3 linked regions of the Xenopus tropicalis genome follow. The protein of the gene in region 1 purifies or fractionates together with the protein of each later gene. This does not show direct contact. Links are inferred from orthologs where the notes say so. Each region holds a gene or a part of one and is shown in the gene's direction. Other genes may lie near its edges.

Evidence for each region.
Region 2: the proteins of numa1 (region 1) and ezh2 purify together in Homo sapiens (affinity purification with mass spectrometry; 3 studies listed by BioGRID and IntAct, with this or other methods). This does not show direct contact. The link is inferred for Xenopus tropicalis from reciprocal best matches to the Homo sapiens genes NUMA1 and EZH2.
Region 3: the proteins of numa1 (region 1) and epb41l3 purify together in Homo sapiens (affinity purification with mass spectrometry; 3 studies listed by BioGRID and IntAct, with this or other methods). This does not show direct contact. The link is inferred for Xenopus tropicalis from reciprocal best matches to the Homo sapiens genes NUMA1 and EPB41L3.

The regions. Positions count from the first base shown.
Region 1 is NC_030678.2:178,876,199-178,880,499, forward strand, and holds part of numa1 (nuclear mitotic apparatus protein 1), read left to right. Parts: intron 1-736; coding exon 737-992; intron 993-1,407; coding exon 1,408-1,684; intron 1,685-1,837; coding exon 1,838-1,974; intron 1,975-2,423; coding exon 2,424-2,651; intron 2,652-2,742; coding exon 2,743-2,847; intron 2,848-3,204; coding exon 3,205-3,453; intron 3,454-3,816; coding exon 3,817-3,840; intron 3,841-4,301. UniProt on the Homo sapiens protein: Microtubule (MT)-binding protein that plays a role in the formation and maintenance of the spindle poles and the alignement and the segregation of chromosomes during mitotic cell division.
Region 2 is NC_030682.2:55,145,052-55,149,352, forward strand, and holds part of ezh2 (histone-lysine N-methyltransferase EZH2), read left to right. Parts: intron 1-2,631; coding exon 2,632-2,752; intron 2,753-4,301. UniProt on the Homo sapiens protein: Polycomb group (PcG) protein. Catalytic subunit of the PRC2/EED-EZH2 complex, which methylates 'Lys-9' (H3K9me) and 'Lys-27' (H3K27me) of histone H3, leading to transcriptional repression of the affected target gene.
Region 3 is NC_030682.2:106,405,459-106,409,759, forward strand, and holds part of epb41l3 (band 4.1-like protein 3), read left to right. Parts: intron 1-155; coding exon 156-257; intron 258-666; coding exon 667-1,386; intron 1,387-2,675; coding exon 2,676-2,798; intron 2,799-4,301. UniProt on the Homo sapiens protein: Tumor suppressor that inhibits cell proliferation and promotes apoptosis. Modulates the activity of protein arginine N-methyltransferases, including PRMT3 and PRMT5.

The DNA.
Region 1 (4,301 bases):
CTTCTGCTCCGAGCACACCCTGGGGTGTTAGCTTCTGGGGAACCCTTTATGCTTCCCTACTTTGCCTTCTTTCCAGTAGTCCTGGATGGCCCCTCGGGCCCTGTGTAACTGCTAATAGCAGTCCTCCCTCCCTATTATTCTATTACTCGAGACCTGCAGCACTGCTACTTTACTAATGTGATAAAGGCAGTCGGATTGTAAGCTGTACAGGGCAGAAACCTGCAGCCAGGTCCGGACTGGGATTCATAATGGGCCCCGTCATTTAATGTACACAGAGGCCCAATAATAGTGAGTGTCTGGCATCTTACAGCAGCCCTTATGGCATTTGCCAGAACCCACAGCTTGTCAGTCCGGGCCTGGCTACAGCTTCATATGTCTCTCTGAATGTGGCATTTATTGTGACTATATTTATGTAATGCTGGTTCCTCCTGTCTGTACTGTTTTGTATGCAGTGCAGCAGATACTGACATTATATAGTAGCCAAATAAACAAATAGGAATATGTACAAGACACTTGGCTGGCTGAGTCTTGCAGCTAGGGGGCAGTAAAGCATTGGAGCAATAGCTCATCTTTCTGCACACCCAAATCTGCCGTTAAAGCAAGGATAGAACATAAGTTCATTTGAGCAGAGATGCATTTTAGACATGAAAAGCTGATCAATTTTCAAAAACAAATGCTGTGTGTGTCCCTGACCCACCAGAAATGTACCCTAATATATGCATTTTATTTATCACAGTAAGAATGGCCGCTGCAACGAGGAACCTGCCACATCGTCAGTACATGCCAGCAGCATGGAGTCTCCTACCACAGGCCAACTGCCCAAAAAGGTGGAGTCTCTGGAAAGCCTCTACTTCACACCTATTCCAACCCGGGCACAGTCCAAACTGGAAAGTAGCCTTGGTTCCATTGGGGACCTGTCCCTAGACTCCAGCAAGAAAACGCGGTCTGCAAGGAGACGCACCACCCAGATCATTAACATCACAATGACCAAGGTAAGGAGAAAGTGTCGGCGTGGGGGGAATCGGGGGCTTTGAGTCAGGGAGCAGAGCAGTTGCCAATGTGGGGCCCAGAAGTCACCATGGTGACAGTCAGCATGGGAGATAGTGGCACTTTGTAGCTTATGTCCAATGCCACATCCTGGGGGCCGAGCCATCTCCATTTGGTCTGGGAGCCCTAGGAACAGCCCTCACTGAGAACTGGATTAGTTTCAAACATACTGGCTGCCATATTGGAGATTCCATACCTCAAACCAATCATTGCTCAGGTCACTGCTTCTTGTGTTCCCCCAGATGGAGATATTGGTCAGTGCCGAGGGTTCTTACATTGATATTTCTCCTAATGTTATTGGGAAAGAATTCATGTCTTGAGTAGGGTGTCCATTAAATTTGCATTATGGTTTCATTTCAGAAGACAAAGGAGGAACCGGAAGCAGAGAGTGCCAACACGTCATTCTACAGCCTGCGCTCCGCTCCGTCCTATCAGAGTCTCCACCAGCAGAAGCCCCGGAGGCCTGGGCGTCCTCAGGCAGCGGTTTCTGCCCCAGCCCTGGCCAGCCTCCCATCCCAGGAATCCCTGGCCAAGACAGAACAGTTCTCTGATGACAGCTTTAATAACTCCGTATTGATGAATTTACCTGGTTACCGACCCCCCACGCGTAGATCTGCAAGGCTTTCACAAACTGGAGGTAGTTGCCTGTTCCCTTACGTGCCTGATGTGTAGTCTGTTCTCTATAGCCCCCTTACAGAACTCACTCCAACAGCTCTGTATGCTTCCCCCATACCTGCACCCTGTGTGTGATAACAACCCCGCAGCCTCAGCCCCATGTTGTTCCTTTCAGGCCGAAGCAGTTTCTACATGAGCACGTGCCAGGATGAGCCAGACCCACAGGAAGACTGGAACCGGATCGCTGAGTTGCAGGCCCGGAACAAGGCCTGCCCACCCCACCTCAAGACTTCCTACCCACTGGAGTCCAGGGTGCGTATCTGTTCTATTGCACAAGTACTGGGCATATCTTTAGCTGCACGGCTGCTGTCTTTGGGTAGGGGTAGAGCATCCCTAGGGTTAAGGCCCCCCCATACACGGGCCGATTCTAGCTGCCGATATGGGTCCCTTAGACCAATTCGGCAGCTAATCGGCCCGTGTATGGGCACTTCCGATGGGCCTGCCCGACTGATATCTGTCCTGAAATCGGCCAGATCTCGATCGGGCAGGCTAGAAAATCTTTACCTATGCCCGTCGTAAATCCTGTAGGTGGGGGTATCGGGAGAAGATCGGCAAGGAAGCAGATCTGCCAGTGTATGGGGACCTTTAATACCAATGGGAGTGCGAGACTTGATTGCTTGGATCAGCACTGTGTGTCGCAAGAGTTTTTAGGGCAATTTATCAAGTTAATTGTTAAACTAAAACACACAATCCATTTTCAGCCGTCACTCTTAAGCTCCACCATTACCGATGAAGAGGTCAAGTTGGGAGACCCTAAAGAGACGCTCAGGAGAGCCACCATGCTGCCCTCCCAGATACAAGAGTCCACAGGCAGTACCCGCAGAATGAGCTTGGCTGCCTCTGAACATATGAGGGGACCCAGCATCAGCACCAGGCAGCAGATGAAGCGCGTGTCCGAGGAGTCTCACCTTGGCCCAGACACCCCAGAAGTGAGCAGCTTTGCCATTCCATGTTTGTACTTGGGCTAAAGGGCTAGTGGCTCTGCTGCTCTATAGAACTAACTTTCCGTATTACTTACAGGCCAAGAAGTCTGCCACTTGCTTTCCTCGGCCCATGACCCCAAAGGATAAACACGACGCACGCAGATTGTCCACTGTGGAAAGCAAAGGAAACTCCAGCCATCAGGTGAGCTGCTAATTCTCATGCATTTACCAACCATTATACACCATCTTGTGTGCGCTGAGTCCCAGGGGACAGGCCATTGCTCTCACGTTCCCAGGGATGGAGGGCAGCGCCACTGTCCCTATAAACCAATGAAATCAGGGCAGCGCCACTGTCCCTATAAACCAATGAAATCAGGGCAGCGCCACTGTCCCTATAAACCAATGAAATCAGGGCAGCGCCACTGTCCCTATAAACCAATGAAATCAGGGCAGCAACGGATGAAGTTAGGGGTTTGTCACTGTTTGTACCAATAATACTGCAGTGCCATAAAGCGGTATGTTCATATGAATTTCACACAGTCTTTTGCTCCCGTTTCAGCAGGCGCAGCCCACTCGCCGTCAGTCTACAGCATTTAGCATTTTCAACACCCCCAGAAAGCTGGGCAACAGCCTCCTGAAGAGAGGCCTCAACAAGAAAACGACTCCCAAAAATAGCCCCCGGGGGCGGGGGGCAAGTGGCAGCGCCGGCAGCACTTCAGGCAAATCCCCGCACCGCTCTCTCCGGAAGTCACCCAGCAGGCGGTCTCCGAGGGCCTCCACTGCAAAGTCCCCCAAAGCTTCAACCAAGGTCGGTATCGGGATGGGGGGTAGATCTGCTGTCATGTGCTCCTCAGCCTGGGCGGAGCTACACTGAGTCGATACTGGCACGGAAATGTAAAAATATGTATTTTTGCCCAATATCCTCTCCGTGTAGCCCCACACAGGCCATAATGCTGTGCCTGTCGATGGAGCCGTCGGTATACAGATATATAATCCTACTGAATGAGATCATGTCAGCCAGGTGTATAGTTACCCTTTAATATCTGGGGAAGCAGTCAGTGCGGTGTATCGGCAGTTGTCTGATCTTTGCCCCTGAATGTGATGACACAGGGCAGTATTGTGGGGCACAATTTGCTTTCAGGTACCAATAATGTTCTCTGATCCCTCTCAGGTGGGGCAGGAGCTGCAGATACAGGTAGGTGTTGCCTGTGGGTGTGGCCGGGGAGGGGTAGCTGCACAGGTGCATTGCTGTCTGTCCTGCAGTCTCGTACATCTGTAGGGTGGATTTGTTCCCTGTCCTGATATTTCTGCCCTTCCTGTTCTCCTCTTTGCTTCTTGGGGTGTCCTTTTTAGTGGGTTCTCCTGCACTGGTTTCGGGTCCCATCAGCACCTGGGAAGGGGCAGCCATTACGGCCGGGATCTTTGCTGCTCAAATACTGACCCCCATTGTGCCAGCGGAAGCTTCACGTACAGCTAGCAAACATGGGGTTCCCAATGGGCCAATCACAGAGCAGGAATAGTGTTGTTATTGCATAAGGGGCGGTACAGCCTTTCCTCTCCTGCTCCATAACATTGGCACGAGAGACCTGTTCATAGAGGAACCGCCTGATTGGTGCACATTTGCCCAACTTCCCCTGTCTGTATATGTGATAAAGA
Region 2 (4,301 bases), on another chromosome or scaffold:
CTGTTCACTTATTAAGACTATTTAAAAAGGTCTAGCCCACAGGTATGGTATGACTGTTTGGCCTGGTATTATATTATTGCACACCAAAAGTACTGCTTTGTCTTTTTTCCCATTCACAGTCAGACAAGTTTTACAGTGCGGAAGCACAGAGGGTAACCATTAATGTTTGCATAACTTCCTTTTTATTGTCTACTCAGCAGAGTAGTAACGTAATCATTTTTGTTGGGTGTGGAGAAGTGTCATCATTTGTTCCATGAGTTCTGCAGTAGTTCAGAAATTTCTACTAGCAAAAGTTGACACTGTTCTTTAACAGAATATAGTGTTAATAAAAACATTGTTTATTCTCCCACCCCTTTCTCATTTATTATAAATATGTATAATATTATGATATGATTTCAAACCATTATTTGCTTAATCATATTTGATATAAATTGAAAAAAGTTCCAGACTCGATTGGAACCCTAAAGATTTAGATTTTGAGTCTGAATCCTGTAAAAAGTGCTTGCATTTGGACAAGTCCATGAATTCTGGTTGTCCTTACATTTATCCAGTTCCATACATTCTTCATTTTCCTGTGGTTTTTTTTTTTTTTGCTTTCCCATTATGGCAGCTATTGTTGGTTTCACTTGTTTTTTCTTTCTGCTTCCTTAGTGCAGTTCTTTAAAATAATTTCATGTCTTTAGTTTTCCTACTATCTTTGGCACCTGTCTTGTGTTTTTCACTTTGGTAGTTATCTGGTATGGTCTTAAAGGAACAGTAACACCAAAAAATTAAAGAGCTTTAAAGTAATAAAAATATAATGCACTGTTGCCCTGCACTGGTAAAACTGGTGTGTTTGCTACTGTAACACTACTATAATTTATATAATAAGCTGCTGTTTAGCCACGGGGGCAGCCATTCAAGCTGGAAAAAAGGAGAAAAGGCACAGGTTACATAGCAGATAACAGATAAGTTCTGTAGAATACAATAGTGTTTTATCTGTTATCTGCTATGTGCCTGTGCCTTTTCTCCTTTGAATGGCTGCCTCCATGGCTACATAGCAGCTTATTTATATAAACTATAGTAGACTTTCTGAAGTAAACACACAACTTTTACCAGTGCAGGGCAGCAGCACATTATATTTTAGTTACTTTTATACACTTTCATTTTTTGGTGTTGCTGTTCCTTTAAATTTTATGAAACCCTTGTGCCTTTCATTTTTGCTATCACATGCCTTTTTCTTTTGGTATCATTGTGGATGCACCAAACCCTAAATTTTGGCCAAATCATTGGGTATGTAATGGGCCGAATACCAAACTGAATCCAAACCCCAGAAGTGGAAATCGCTGAAACTGCAGGTGTTATTGCAGGTGCACTCACAAAATATTTTTTCAAAACATAAGGTTAGGATTTGTTTTATCCAGGCTCTTGTATTCGCTTAAATTCTGCTAAAAATGGCTTAGATTAGGCCGAATTCCAAACCAGATATGGGATTTTGTGCATCCCCAGTTTAGAATGTGTTTTTTTTTAGAAAAGATAGTACAGGTATCGGACCCATTATCCAGAAAGTTCTGAATTACGGAAAAGCCATCTCCCATAAACTCCATTTTAATGAATAATTCACATTTTTAAAAATGGTTTCCTTTTTCTCTGTAATAATAAAACAGTACCTTGTACTTGATCCCAGCTAAGATATAATTAATCCTTATTGGAACCAAAACAATCCTATTGGGTTTATTGCTGTTTAAATTTTTTTTTTAATTAGACTTAAGGTAGGAGATCTGAATTACAGAAAGACCCCTTATCCGAAATACCCCAGGTCCTGAGCATTCTGGATAATGGGTCCCATACCTGTGATAGTATTACTTGCGTGTACCAGAATGGTGGGAAGTTACACATGATTTGACTGTTAACTAATGGTTTTACTCAATATATCGGGGCATTATCTTTTCACCTCACTCATAAAGTGTTTAGTGTAGTTTCACTTGCTTCATCAATTTAGTATGTTATGCCATGGGATCTTTAATCAGTCAATTTCTGCTACTACTGAAACAGTAGATTCTCAGAGCCTTCCCATATGGAATCCATTAACAGTGTATTGTTTAACGGGTCTATAGGGAAAAGTTCTCTATAAATATCCATGACACATTTTATCAGGAGAAAGAGAAAATGCAGATTTAATTAAGAAAGGCTAAAATAAACCAGGCTGCTGTAATGTTCACATATGTATATGAAAACATTTCTTACAGGAAATTCATGGCTCTATAGACTGTGTTTATTTTTAGCCTCTAGATCAGCAGATACAAACTTTAAGGGTACTAACACGTAAGGGTAAATCTACAATACCATGGATGACAGAAGCTCATGAACTATGTCTTTCTCATACCAAGCCTTCAGATTGCAGCAATTAAAACACATTTCTTGCAGAAATCTGACTTATCCCATGAAAAAAGAGAAGTTGGATCACTTTGAGTAATGTGGTTTGTGTACAGCAATGCAAAGGTTAGGCAAGGAGGTTTGTCACCTGTAGTAATGCAGATTTACCTCAAGCTGCCAATTTCCTTGTGTGCCAGTATCTCTAGGTACAAGTCCCTTGGTCTGCAATGTATTTACCTGTGTTAAGCAGAATAAAGAATATTACCTTCTATTCAGGTGGAAGATGAAACTGTTCTGCATAATATTCCATATATGGGTGATGAGGTTTTGGACCAAGATGGGACATTTATTGAAGAACTCATTAAAAACTATGATGGAAAAGTTCATGGAGATAGGGGTAAGTTCTTTTATTCTTAAGCAGGGAAATATACCATAATGCAAAACCTGAACTGCCCCAGCACTCCTTTGCATTGTGCATTCTAGCTTCTGAAGAAGTGTAGGTTTAAAGCCTGTGTTCTAAAGAATGTTTCCACATGTCCAGATGAGACTTTCGGCAGGGTTATGCAGAATTGACAGCTGTATTTGTAGGCAATTACACTGCATTTCCACAGTCACTATTTGTATCCTAGTGAAACACAACAATAAAGTTGTTTATAGACTGGGCTGGGGATAAGGATATTATTCTGAGATTAGATGGATGGCTTATTCTGACTGAGTCTCTTCAATGGAAATCACATAAAGGTAATCATGATATATTTATCCATGTTGTGCATCCACATCATGAAGTGGGTAGGTTATATAATTTTATAATTTCCTTGCCATTCTCCCAGAAGCTGTCCCGTTAACTAAGCAACCTAATGTTTTGCTCTAGCCTTTTGAAAACACAAGCTGTGCATAAAAGGCAATTTGTCCTAATGATTTAAACTTTAAGTTTTCCCTGAAAATGAAAATTTAGTGCTAGGTGTTCCTATGGGAGCGTAGGGAAATTGTACCATAGGAAGAGTTGTACCTACTATCAGACAATATCTGAACATCTCATACATAGACAATCAAGATATCCATTCCAGGATAATAAACAAAAAAAGGATAAAGGATGGATGTGGTTCCCTGCCTGGATAGGATGAGAAAATAGTCAATAGATTAAAAAAAGTATGCTAGTATAAGGGATGGTATAATAAATGAAACTATAAGTTCCATCAAAATAATAAATGAGGAATTGGTCTAAGCCAGGAAGATGCCATTATGGAATAGAACGGTCCTAGATTACCTACTAGTAGATGAGGGTGGAGTTTGTGCAATCACAGGTAAGGAGAGTTGTACCTGGATTGGGGACTTGCATGACCCAATTGAGCCCTACAGAACAGTTTCTCATTTATGGGAATCATAAGGACTTGGTTATCAAATGTTTAAAAGTTTTTATGGTACTGAATGTGTGGGATTGCAATGGGCCTTGTGTTATATATTATAGCAAGGTTGTGTTGTTGCAAATACAGTATTTCAGAGGTTACATGGAGGGGCAGCTGAAGGGAGGGTGCTCACCCATTTAGCTCCTGGATCAAATATACAACAGCCCTCTTCTGATCAGCAACCTTTTGTGTTTGGCCGACCTTATCCATAGCAGGATCCCATTCCTGTATGAACAGGGTAATGAAGAACTTGCTGATTTAGATGGGAACCATGATAGGCAACTCTGTACTGCCACTGAACCTTTTATAGGTGAGCGGAATAGAGTTCTGGGTAAGAAGAATATATATGTTCAAGATTTGAACAAAAGGGAGGAATGTTAGAGAAAAAAAGAAACCATCTTGTTTCTTTTCTCCATCTTGTTCATATCATTTAATATTAGAGGGGTTGTGAAATACATTGTGTAAGGATGTTTCTTTTTGCTGTTGTAAAAACATTTATGATGAGTCCGCAAACTTGTGAAAAGAGGCATATTGGGTGTG
Region 3 (4,301 bases), on another chromosome or scaffold:
ATTTAGTGGTATAACAGTTATTATAGTCTTTGATCCAATGCATTGTTCAATTCATTTGAATTAAATTTTCATATAATGTATTTTCCAAAATCTCCCAGCTCACTCACCAATGCATCTCTGAATGCATTCTCTTTTTTTATGGTTTCTTTCATTAGCCAGGGGACATAGTGAAGAAACTGCGGGAGGCAAGAGCCACCAGCCCTGTGGCTACTTCTCAGCAAATCATTATGCAGAAAACTATCCCGACATCCCCAGAGGTTACTCTTTATTCATTTAATCTAGATAAAATCCCCCACCATGAATAAATATAAAACAGATATTTCATTTACTTAGAATGAGTACATTGTAAATAAATAAAATAAAAATAACTGCTTAAAGTTATATATTTACAATGTACTCATTCTTAATCTAGACTTGCATGGATAATATACATTTTGGTTAAGTCCTGACCTAATTTGTTTATATCTTCTTATGGAAAGTTAAGCAGGCATGGTGGACTCATTGCAGTGTTGCTGTGGGTACTGGGAGGTATAGATCACAATAGCTGGGTGGTCTTCATTTTGGCATCCCTTATGTATAGTAACATTTAAATGAGGGATGTTCTTTTAGTAATGCGCAACTTACATTTGCAGGTATTCTAATTTAGCTTTTATATCTCACATGTAGGGCACAGAGGATTGGGTTATTATAGACAAAGTGCCTACTAAGGTAGTTGATGGTGAAACAAAAACCATTGTGACTTACAAAGTGACAACAGTGAGCAGTGACATGCCAGCTGGAACGTTTAAAACCAGCCCACTGGGAGGTCAGAGCTTGGATGCGCTGAAAATGGAACTGAAGTCCAAAGAAGAGGATAGCAAACTGAAAATGTATACATTAGGAAGGTCTTATGATACCGTGTCTGGAAAAGTAGTAACTATGACAAGTAAAGCAAAAGAAGGGGATAAAGAAAAAACACCATCTTCATTTGAAATAATTCAAAAGCTGGAGAAGGATATAGCTGAAACTATAAAAATTGCTCCTGGTACAGGGGACTATGAGATCCTGGAGCCGATTAGTGATGACAAGGGAAGAAAAGTTCCAGAAGGGCCACCTGTAAAGAGAAGAATGTCAGAAACACTGACACCCATCAAAGAGTCAGACTCCCAGCTGGCTAGTCCAGTAGAAGAGACTCTGAAGAAAGTGCAAGATAAAGATACGGAGAAGAATTTGATTGAAAGTGTGATTTTTGGGAAGGCTGAGCAGTTTCAAGATTATGATGTTATTAAAGCAGATGTCCCGTCTTGGAAAGATAAGAAGCTGTCCGAGTGGCGATACACACGAGATCAGCCATTTACCATTGCCACTGCTCATTATGTTACCGAGTCATCTGCATCCAAAGTGGTGGTAACATGCACCGATGACTATATGCCCCATTTTGAAGAGTAAACGCATGAATACCAGACATATCCCAGCTTCACAATACCCTTTTGTTCACTTGCTGCTTGGCATTCCTTTGACAGCCAACTTATATTTATGATTTTTCATTTTTATTAGCATTGCAACCACAGCGGGCAATGTGAGGCTTGAATCCCTTAACACAACAAAAGTCACTCAAATGCATATATTTACTTGGTAACGGCTAGCAGTTTCCCAGATCTAACAACCTCGGGCCCTATTCAACAAGTTCTTAGAAGCACCTCTCTATTACGATTAGAGCCAGTCAGCAGCTGTTGGTTTTGAGACCTTTAACAATCTTAATGTACACAATCCTCCAAAAAGGCATGTTTTGAAACACTAAGAGGACCCCCACATTAGGCAAACTGGAATTTTTGTGGTTAATTTGAAAATTTTACTTTACATTATATCTGACATACTCAAACTTGTAAGGCAAAGTATACAGTTCTGTCCTCATTGATCTTCCACAGCCAAGAATTTGTCTGTTTGACCTGTGTCCTATAGGAATAACGTTCCAGTATGGTACAGATGTGACAAGTTATAAGGTCATTTTGGAGGTAAATTTTGATCCATTTGGGTAATGGTGACAGTTTTGCACAAAACAATCCTGTACCTGACTGTGCCATTTTTTATAACATATTATTTGGTGTTACTGATTACCCAAACAAAATGTCAGTTTCTCAAACCTGGACAATCTAATCAACTTTACAATGAAACCAGCAGGCATCTTTATAATGTTAAAGTCTTGCTTCCAAAGAATCTTCCCTTTCAGTCAATGAGGACCACACTGTATGTTGTTTGGTGCCATTATTTCTCTACAGATTTTGTTGTATGTCAAACTAATTTCTTATTTTATTTTAGGTTGTTGAATAGGGCCCTCTGCTTTACAGCTTTTCTTACAGGCCTACCAGATGTGCACTAGTTTTATTTTCCTTTTTCTGCTGTGTCCATGACTTTGATGGCTTCTTTCCCTTATCTATTTTTGTCTTGTGTTGTACTCTAACTAATGTGAAAGTGTGTCTTGTGCCGCTGTATGCCATTCTTCTTGTTTTGTTTTTACTCCTCCGCCACCCTGTCTCCCCGTAATGCACACTCTCATAAATCCTTTCCGAGACTATCCCGATCTTTAATATTCTCTACTGGCTACCCACAATCCCTCTCTCTGACTTTCTCTTCTGTGTTTTCATATGTCTTTCTTTGTTGTCCCTGTTTGACATTTCATTTCTTTGTCTGTTTAGACCAAACAATCATCTGGTGAAAAAACCTTGGAGGGTTCTGATATCTACAGTTTATTAGAATCTACAAGAAAGCCATCTGAGTTCCTAGGAGAGGTTACATCTACTTCACAATCCTGGGCTCAGGTGGCTGCCGATTGTATAAGCTTATGAGTTGTTTTTCTCAATGTGTTCTTCATGATGTGTTTTGCATTACAGGAGGGCCCCGTCAGTTTCATCAACTGTTTTATTAATGCTCAATGTTTACATGGCCAGTAATCTATTCCTAGAGCTGGAAACTGTTAAATTTGTGATTTTATGAATGTGTGATGCTATACCTAAGGGCAGTGGCACGATTTCGGGCAGTTTATCACTGCACGGGCAACAAAACTCTTTAAATTTCTCCCCATTCATTTCAATGGCAATCTGCTGTACTCACAGGGGCACTCGTACGTCTGGTGATTGTCACTCAGTAACAAAGACTGATGTGACAAAATGCCCAGAACTGTGCTATTTACTGTGCCATTACAATTTTAGACAAAATTATTTTAAAAACTCTAACATTTGTGATCTTTCCTCCATGTCTGGTGTTATCTCTTATGTAGCTTGAGCTTTATAGGACTTTGCTGAATAGTACTAATACTAATAACGTATAATGGAATTAGAATAATCATAGATCCTGTGTGAGGCATACTAAACAAATACCCAGACATAGCGGTCATTTTTAATGCAGTTATGATAAATTATAGGCTTCATTTTATGAGGACAGTGATTACGTTAAATTAATAGTATAACTGTAATAGGTTTTATATGTGCTGTCAAAATACAGTGTTCACTGAGTAAATTATATGTGTGTTAGTAAGTAGAATTGCTCTACTTTCTGCTTCTTTACATTAATTCATTTCAGCTATCTGTAAAACAGAGAATAAGTCACTTATTCTCTCTTTCTTAGGGTCTCTGTTATTTACAACAAGGCTGTCCAGCTGGTGGCCCTCCAAAGAATTCTTATGGCCCCCAGTCTGCTTGAAGGCTTCATAGACTTCTCTAAAATAATTTGCCCACTACATAATATAAAACAAGTTGGACAGCACCTATTTACACCATACTGGTACAGGTATCGGACCCCTTATCCGGAAACCCATTATCCAGAAAGTTCCGAATTACGGAAAGGCCATTTCCCATAGACTCCATTTTAATCAAATAATCCACATTTTTAAAAATTTCCTTTTTCTCTGTAGTAATAAAACAGTACCTTGTACTCAATCCCAACTAAGATATAATTTATCCTTATTAGGGGGAAAACAATCCTATTGGGTTTAATTACTGTTTAAATAATGTTTTTAGCAGACTTTAGGTAGGAGATCCAAATTACAGAAAGACCCCTTATCTGGAAAACCCCAGGTCCCGAGCATTCTGGATAATGGGTCCCATACCTGTATATCCATAATAGAATAAAGCCAAAGAGTGGAAGAGATAAGAATGATTAAAAAGAAAAAAAAACAGAAACAAAACCCAAAAACTATTTTAAAAAAAAAAAAAATGGTTGCTTGGAAACATGATCTGGACAAAACTGGATTATAGAAAATGGTAGTGGGGTTAAACATTACAGAGTTACACTGCAATGAAGGTTAAAAAAAGGATGTGGCCATC